2 linked regions of the Arabidopsis thaliana genome follow. The protein of the gene in region 1 interacts with the protein of each later gene in a pairwise test. Each region holds a gene or a part of one and is shown in the gene's direction. Other genes may lie near its edges.

The links.
Region 2: the proteins of MYB78 (region 1) and AT3G03270 interact in a two-hybrid assay, tested with the Arabidopsis thaliana proteins (one large-scale study listed by BioGRID).

What each region holds. Positions count from the first base shown.
Region 1 is NC_003076.8:20,136,675-20,141,493, reverse strand, and holds MYB78 (myb domain protein 78), read left to right. Parts: upstream 1-1,964; 5' UTR 1,965-2,109; coding exon 2,110-2,284; intron 2,285-3,045; coding exon 3,046-3,175; intron 3,176-3,342; coding exon 3,343-4,003; 3' UTR 4,004-4,098; downstream 4,099-4,819.
Region 2 is NC_003074.8:760,439-764,907, reverse strand, and holds AT3G03270 (Adenine nucleotide alpha hydrolases-like superfamily protein), read left to right. Parts: upstream 1-1,792; 5' UTR 1,793-1,832; coding exon 1,833-2,007; intron 2,008-2,114; coding exon 2,115-2,224; intron 2,225-2,351; coding exon 2,352-2,470; intron 2,471-2,696; coding exon of another isoform or gene 2,697-2,772; exon of another isoform or gene 2,773-3,323; coding exon 3,324-3,525; 3' UTR 3,526-3,774; downstream 3,775-4,469. Other genes in the region: AT3G03272 (prolamin-like protein (DUF1278)), read left to right, coding at 713-1,075.

The sequences.
Region 1 (4,819 bases):
CTTTTCTCTACTTATGATGAAAACCAAAACCACTTCCTTGTGAATTGTGATTACTACAAGTTGATTAGACGATCCATGCAGACCCGACTCAGCCTCACAACCAATATGTTCTATATTTGAGACTCTCTTATTGTCTGAACAAATCTAGGTACACATATTCACCGCCCATCCTGCAAAAGCTAGTGGCTCAAGCCACTGTATATCACATATGGAAGGAAATGAGCAATATAATTCATTAGCAACAAGCAACTCCTGCTACAATAATCTTAATTAAAGACCATTGATATGTAGGCATATTCCATAATACAATTATCGCCAAAAAAGGACATGGAAGAAATTCATTAACCTAATGTGAATAACTAGGGTTGCTTCTTCGTCAAAAGATCCATGTGACCATTGTATTTTTTTTTCCATGTTTGGCAAAACACAAATATAGAAGGTTGACATTATGTAAAACCAAAACACTTCATTTTCTAATGATATTTACATTCATATCATATTATATAAGTAAACGTTGAATTTGTCCCTCAGTATTTGAATGCACCTAGCTAGGTTGGCTAAATGAATTTGAATTTTATGGTCAAACCAATGAACATAGGGGGAACTGGAGAAGTATAAGACGTATATGAACATACAGTATAGTATTTGCAACTTGTTTGAAACTGGAAAAAAGTATAATTAAGTTATTACGACAACTTATAAACATAATTAAGAAACAGAATTACACGCATGAAAAGTCGTAAAATGTCAACCTTCAAAGCTATAGTGCTGAATTAAGTGCTAACTAAGTATACTAATCAACCCTAAAAATTAATTAAGTCCTACCACGATCCTATAATTAATGTTCAATTTGCGGCATTTGGAACTTTATTCATTAGGATAACGCGTTGCATGACATAAAGAGTCAAATGAGATATTTTATTACTCATAGTTTAGTTATTTTCAGTGTATAGATTCGATTAATATCTTAATTAAGAGAGTAAATTGACAAAATCATAAAAATACAGTCTTCATCCTTGGATTTTGGCAGTACTTGTACTGGATCTTTAACGGAGAAATATTTAACGATAAATATTTCTTAGAATTTAAGAAGTGAAACGGATAATTTGGTTTATTTAAGAATAATGAATTGTGCAACGATGGGTGTATTTAGGAATAATGAATGTGTGCAACGATTGGTGTATTTAGGAATAATGATGCTGGTCATGTCTAGGGATTTGGGGTCTAACTAAAGCGAATGTAAATATGAGAAATTTTACATCTAAACAATATAATATGTATTGTAAATTTGTAATAAAATATTTTGTAAAATAACAAACATGATGTTTTTTTATCAATGAAATTGAATTTCGAAAACAAATTGCACTTGATTTTTTTACCAATACATAAAATCTAATTTAAAAATTCGGTGGCTCCAAAATTTGCATAATATTATGAATCCTAAGACTGTTTTTTCGATCAGTAGACATGGTCTAGTGACTAGAATGGATGTTAAACAACCGCACTCGGACTAATCTATGTTCATATCTATGCAAAATGTGGTTTCATTTCCGCCTTGGAAAATGAATAATTTTGACATAAACGGTGTCAGTTTAAAACACAAGCACGAGAACTAGTTCGATTATTAAATTGAGGAAACTGTTTTGTTCCGGTATTTTGTTCATATTTCCTGAAACCAATCCATATTTATAAGATATCTCTTTTTATCAACAATATACTTATGCGGATTTAAACACGGATAGTAATATTATGATGATGTTCTCCTCTCATAAAGATAGTTGATAATTACAAATATATTAGGAGATGCTCTATGTTTTAAAGTTTTTAAGTTATTGGGAAAAATTAACAATTCTAATATTGCGGCCGTTTATGCCTTTGTCCCACATGTTACAAATAAATCTTAAAAAAGAATTATCATCTATTTTGTTCATCTATAAAACCATCAACTTCTCCATCTTTTCCTGTGGATACAAACAACATCATCCATTATCTCTCTAAACATAACTCCAAAAAGTGACTCTTTTCATTTCAGAACTCACTCAAAGACAAGTACAAAGCTAAGTCTTGATTTTTTTCTTTGAATATCTCTTTGTGGGTCACTCTTCATCAATGGGTGACAAAGGAAGGAGCTTAAAGATCAACAAGAACATGGAGGAATTCACGAAAGTGGAAGAAGAAATGGACGTAAGGAGAGGTCCATGGACAGTTGAGGAAGATTTAGAGCTCATCAATTACATTGCTAGTCATGGTGAAGGTCGATGGAACTCTCTCGCTCGTTGCGCCGGTATGATACTCTAACATCTACTTACACATATACACACTTAGATTAATATAGGCATAGACGGTGTGTATAAATGTGCTCCTTGATTGAAAACAAATAAAAATAAGTAACAAACCATATATTATACACAAGTTGTTTCGATCTCCATATGTGTCTTTTTTAATTTACTCAGTGCGCCACTTTTTCTGTTAATCATATCTTTTTGTTTCGAAAGTTCTTTTTTTTTTTTTGGATAAAAGTTTGTTGTGAAAGTTCAAGAAATGGATTTTGCCTTGTATGCACACAAAAAAAAAAGGAAAAAACAAATCATGGGGATAAAACAAAAAGAGTGTCATGCTTTTGTGTTCCGTTCTCTCATTATTTTTCTTCTTTCTGAATTGTTAAAATTATCTATGATCATTCCTAATGAAATCGTGTTTTGCTATTCGGACTCAATTATTATAACTTTTAGGAAATGGATTCAATTATTTAACCCTCTAGGTTTTGAATAGAGTAACTCTATTCGTGTTGAAATAAATGAAATAATTGATCAACATCTATATGGGAAGAGCACTAACGCAATGGAAGAAAGTTTTCAGGAGACAAAGACCCTTTTTGAGAGTTTGCCTCATAGCAACGGTCCCTATAATTTCTAGAGTAAATTTGATAACTTTACCAAATATATATGATCATTATCATGAGTTTCTTGCGTATGAAATCATCATACAATATACGTGTACACGATGATGTCTAATTAAATAATAGTAACTTCCAATATAAAACAGAACTCAAAAGGACCGGAAAAAGCTGCAGACTTCGGTGGCTGAACTATCTCCGACCAGATGTGCGCCGTGGAAACATAACCCTCGAAGAACAACTCTTGATTCTTGAACTTCACACACGTTGGGGCAATAGGTACGTTTTTTAATTACGGTCATTTATACACTTTATTTTCTACTAACAAGATTTTGATCACAAAGATGGCTAAATATTATTGTACACGAATTAGTTCACATCTTTAGTCATCAATACATTTTATTTTCTGTTAACAAGAGTTTGAAAGATTGGTTTATTTGTACTAGTAATGAATTTGATCACAAGTTTTCTTCTTCTTGTGAGGACAGATGGTCTAAGATTGCACAATATTTACCAGGAAGAACGGATAACGAGATCAAAAACTATTGGAGAACACGTGTTCAAAAGCATGCAAAACAGCTTAAATGCGACGTGAACAGTCAACAATTTAAAGACACCATGAAGTATCTTTGGATGCCTCGGCTCGTAGAAAGGATCCAAGCCGCGTCCATCGGGTCTGTTTCCATGTCATCTTGCGTCACCACCTCCTCAGATCAGTTCGTGATCAACAACAACAACACCAACAACGTGGATAATTTGGCTTTAATGAGTAACCCTAATGGTTACATCACGCCGGATAATTCCAGCGTGGCAGTATCTCCTGTATCAGATTTGACGGAGTGTCAAGTGAGTAGTGAAGTGTGGAAGATTGGTCAGGATGAGAATTTGGTGGATCCAAAAATGACATCGCCGAATTATATGGATAATAGCAGTGGACTATTAAACGGAGATTTTACGAAGATGCAAGATCAAAGTGACCTTAATTGGTTTGAAAATATTAATGGGATGGTACCAAATTATTCGGACAGTTTTTGGAACATTGGAAATGATGAAGACTTCTGGCTCTTACAACAACATCAACAAGTCCACGACAATGGAAGCTTCTGAATAGACAAGAAGCTATTTTACAAAGTAAAGGGAAAATACAAAGCTTCTGAATTTAAAAGTGTGAAAGGAATTTGTTATAAACAAAGCTTTTTATTTGAAAAAAAAAAGAAGAAGAAGGTTTTGTTAAAATATTAGCAGCTTTAGACATATTGGAGAGTTTAGGAAATAGTTATTTTTGTAGTAAATTTGATTGCTATTTTGGGATTGTGATACTATATTAATGCTGATAATTTCTAAATTCAGAATCAAATTAATAACAAATCATTTTTTTGGGGAGGATAATTTATTTGAAAGACGATTACACACTAATTAAAAGTGATTTTCTTCATGGAATCATGCTATATAAACAACACTCTATTTATTATAAATGAATTTTCCAAAGCAACCATAATTGGTTCCACGACCAAGTTTCATACTATAATTAATTAAAACTGTATATGTCACACAAGCAGACAAAACATAACATATTAAAAATTTTATCTAATGACTTTAGCATGATAAAATAAGAAGAAGAAAATGGATAATCCGATTCATGATGCTTTTAGGAAACATGTCTATGGGACCTGTATATGGGAAAAAGGGGACCGAAGTGTGTGAAAGGCTTTGGGTTCAAAAGTAGACAATCCAAAACTTTATCATTTCTATAATTTTATCACCACGTAGAGACATCTCAGTGGTTAATGTTTGAGCTTTAAGATGGCCATTAAGGAGATTATTCTTGGAAGAATGTAATAATTATGAACTTAGTTATTAAAATATATACTTAGTGATGATTATTTTTCCACCATTAACGCGTGCAAATCCTTAATATTTAAT
Region 2 (4,469 bases), on another chromosome or scaffold:
GGGGTCCAAAGTGTGAAGGGAAAGGACGCACAAATTATTGTACTACATTATTAGTTTAACCAAAATCAAATATTATTTATATAGTATTCGCTTACTCTTCCAGTTGTTATCGCAAAATTTAAATCACGTGTGGGATCCACGGTCACTTCTTAAGACACCTGTGTTTTCGGTTTATTGAGTTCAATGACGCGACGGTTCCGTTGTCTATGGGATCGGACTGTTCTTGTTGCTTCAAGGCCTAACCTTTTCTTTCAGCTAATGTATTTCAAATTTGATTCCTAAATTCAAATTTGAATGTAAACGGGATACTTGTGCTTCTTCTACTCTAAAGCCATCATAGCTTTTTCATAAATGAGGACAAATTTACCCAAAACACCTCCTGTTACAAATTCGTATAAGTTTGATACTATAATTTTTTGTAAACAACTCGTAAGTCGTATATAAACCATTTAAACTTCGCTTGAAAAATCAGAGTAAGCTAGTCCAATTTAAACGATATTTAAGCACTAGAATCATAACGGAAAGATCTTTTTATATTGTTAGTGTAACTAAAAGATCTTCTTCTAGCGAAAATTATTATTTCCTTTTTATTTCTTGTATATTTACAAAACTCTGAAACCCGTTAGAGGCTTCACCAAGATTCAAGCATCAAAGCCACTATATATATATCACTCACACTTGTTAATTAATTATCAGTATTTGTTTCTTCATCATGATGAAACCATTTTCTCTAGTACTCGTTCTTGTCCTCTCATCATCTTTAGCAAGTGCAACCGCATCCTCCTTATTCTCGCCTCCACTTCCATTTTCGCTCTCTTCCATCTTCGGTGGGATTATCGGTAACAGTGATAATAGCGAGTTAGCTAGGATGTGTTTTCCAGACCTAGGAGACGGAGAAGCCTGCGTGGCGGAAATCTTCGGTTCATTCTTTAGTCCTCAAATTACGATAGGACCAGAATGTTGCAAGGCCATTGTTGAGATCGACGAAGACTGTGCTCAAGCCATTTTTAAACCACTCAGCAATTCTTTCTTTAGTAGTTCTGTCAAGCAGTATTGCACTTACATCAATAGTTGATTGAATTTTCTTTAGGTTTACTTTAGTGCTTGTTTTGTTTAATGTCTTTTATTTGTTTCTTGTTTTCTATGTTTTATCAACACTCAACAGTAACTTCATTTTAATAAGTTTAAACAAAATTTTGAATTGGAATAATATTTCACCGAAGGTGTTGGTACGTGTTCCATCAATCAATGAATAAAAAAAAATAAGCCAATAAAGGAAGAAAAGTTGAAGAATCAAATTCGCCTTTGCTGAAAGTTGACAAAGAATATTACTTTTCTTGGAGAGCAAGTGAGATAAAGAGAATTCACTAATACTCTACGTGTGCAAATACATATCTTGAATCTTCTATGGCTTTCATCAGTACACAATTTAAGATTTCGACTAAAAGAAAACCAAAATGTATTCGCTCACATCACTTTAAAATCATGTTTTCAATATCAAGTATATTAAATAATTCTTTTCAAACTATATGAGGTTACTGAAATGTTATGCACACAAAAGAAATAAAAAGACAAAACTATTCAAAAGAAATGACTAGTCATTAATACTCTCAGTAACAAAGAATTTTAAGAAAAGAAGCGAGAGAGAGAGACCTAGTAGTTTCAAGAATCTCCCCATAGAAGAAAAAGACAATCATTAAATATCTCGAATTCTGTGTGCGCCAATAATATTCTCCAAAGTCTAAACCATCAAACCGGTTATTATATACATATAAATTAGACTACCGTAATCAATTTCTACTTAGAGATCATCGAGAGGGCAAGAGAGAAAAATGGGAAAGGCACGTACGGTGGGAGTGGGAATGGACTATTCTCCGACGAGCAAATTAGCTCTCCGGTGGGCGGCGGAGAATCTCCTTGAAGACGGCGACACCGTCATCTTGATTCACGTCCAACCACAAAACGCCGATCATACCCGCAAAATCCTCTTCGAGGAAACCGGTTCACGTATTTAACTTACTACATCTCTTTAATATATATTAGTAGAGTTAACTCCATATTATGATCAAAATTTGTATTTTGATCATTTAAAAGTTACAAACTAATTATTGCAGCGCTAATTCCTTTGGAGGAATTTAGAGAGGTTAATTTGTCTAAACAGTATGGACTTGCTTACGATCCTGAGGTTCTTGATGTTCTTGATACTCTCTCTAGGGCTAAAAAGGTAAATGTTCACTTTCGTAATTCGTAATCTTACACAAGTTAACAACTATTGCTTTAATATCATTTTGATTTTCTTTCAAATAATGATGTTTAATTCATTGTAATATAAACTTTAAACAAAATTATAGGTGAAGGTTGTAGCAAAGGTGTATTGGGGAGATCCAAGGGAGAAACTTTGTGATGCTGTCGAAAATCTAAAACTCGATTCCATTGTTCTTGGCAGTCGAGGTTTGGGTTCTCTCAAAAGGTAAATTCTTATGCTTACTTACTATATATAGTCTAGTTTCGTTGGTTAAAAAATTTCGAATTTCAGTAAATTTAGGCAATATAGCTTCAAATAATTGAAACTGATTTGGCTTTTCTCAAATTAATTTTAGTATCACTTATTTCGTTATTCTGTGGTTAATCAAAAGGAGAATTGGAGTGATAATTAATAATTACGTTATCTGTGGGGTTTTTTGTTGTTGTTGTAGGATCTTGCTGGGTAGTGTGAGCAATCATGTGGTGACAAATGCAACATGTCCTGTCACAGTTGTTAAGGCTAATTAAAGTGTCTCTTGTTCTTTAATTGGACCCAGTTAATAACATTAGTAGTTACGTGTGTCACTCATGCATTGTTTTGACATTTATACGTTTGTTGCCTTCTACAAATTTGTGTGAAACTGATTGGTACTGTTTCATTAATAAATTTCAGTTAAATGATATTTACTCTCTTTTTGTTTGTGATTTGTGAACGTTACGTAAAAATCACAAAAAAAAATAATTAGTTTTTCTAATTCATTCATGAAAAATCTTCGTGGACTAAACAAAAAAGATGTGAAAAAACAATCCCCATGTTTGATCCAGATTAATTCGATCCGTTAATCAAAAGATGGTCTTAATGAGCATAATTCGGGGATAAAGTCGAATATAGAAATAGTTGTTGAAAAGAGAAATGTTTGGATTGAATCTTGTCAGCTTGATGTGTGGTTGATCACATGACCAATCTATGTATGGAATATGGATGTCGTGTGTGCTGATTCATTCAGATATGACAAGTGGTGGATGGGATAATTCACGATATGGGCCAGATTATGAGTTTGTTTTAACTTGAATGGCAGGCCGAATCATAATGGATTCATGATCATTATGTTTGATCATAGCCTAGTTGGACTTGTATCCCTAGATCATGATCAAAGTGGGCTTATAAACATGGCCGAGATGGGTAGTTCTAAATCAATTTGTTGGATCAGAAGAAATCAAGAAAGAGACAGTCGTTGGAGCTTTTCTGATCTGCTTTTGGATGATCACCCATTAGATTGAAAATTAAATTTTTCATTCTCCGCTCGATGGCTGATTTGTAAACTTGTTCCTTCATGATAGAAATTTATGGGCTAAATACAGAAAGTGAACGTTAGAATTTGGTTTTGGGTAGAAGAACAACTATCATATGATTAAAGATTAATCAGATGATCTAAAGATAGTTTTGGTGAGTACAGTTCGGAAATATAGCCGTTGATGCATGATGTGTGACTTTCAAAAATAGAAATAGCCGTTGGATTTAAATTTAAGGTCAATGAACAACTGTCAGATATGCTTAAAATTAATCTAATGATCCAAGAATGGTTTTGGTCAATACTTCGAGTATATATAGTTGCTGGTACGTGATATGTGACCTTGCTTCAAATATAAAACGAGCCGTTGAATTTTAAATTTGGGTGGATGAACAACGTACTGTCAGGTATGATGATTAAGATTAATTCAATGATCCAAAATCCAAATATTGTTTCGGTAGACGGTGGTACTTAATTAGTGAGACTTTCAAATATTAAAAAGAGATGTTGAATTTAAATTTTAGTTTGCTCAAAAGAAAAAGTTTCTAGTAAAAACAAAACAAATTATGTTTAATTAAGGTATGTAATATGGTTATGCATAAGACTAGTGTTGATGAGATGATTCACGATGTCGTATGGATTGGATTATGAGTATTCTTAAACTCGAATGGGTTGCCAAATCATAATGGCCTCATTAATTTATTGTACTAAACTGAATTATAATATATGTTCTTGAGCGAAAAAAATCCATAATTTATAATTTCCTATCTAGCTATATTGGATTGATCCGGCTGTTGACAATCTGGTCCTGATTTGAATCGGTTTCTCGAATCATGCACCGTAATCGTAGTCTAGCCATTTAGGATTGTATCACTAACAGTAGTGTCACTTTAAAATGTTGGAGATTTAGACTATGAATAGTAATATAAACCG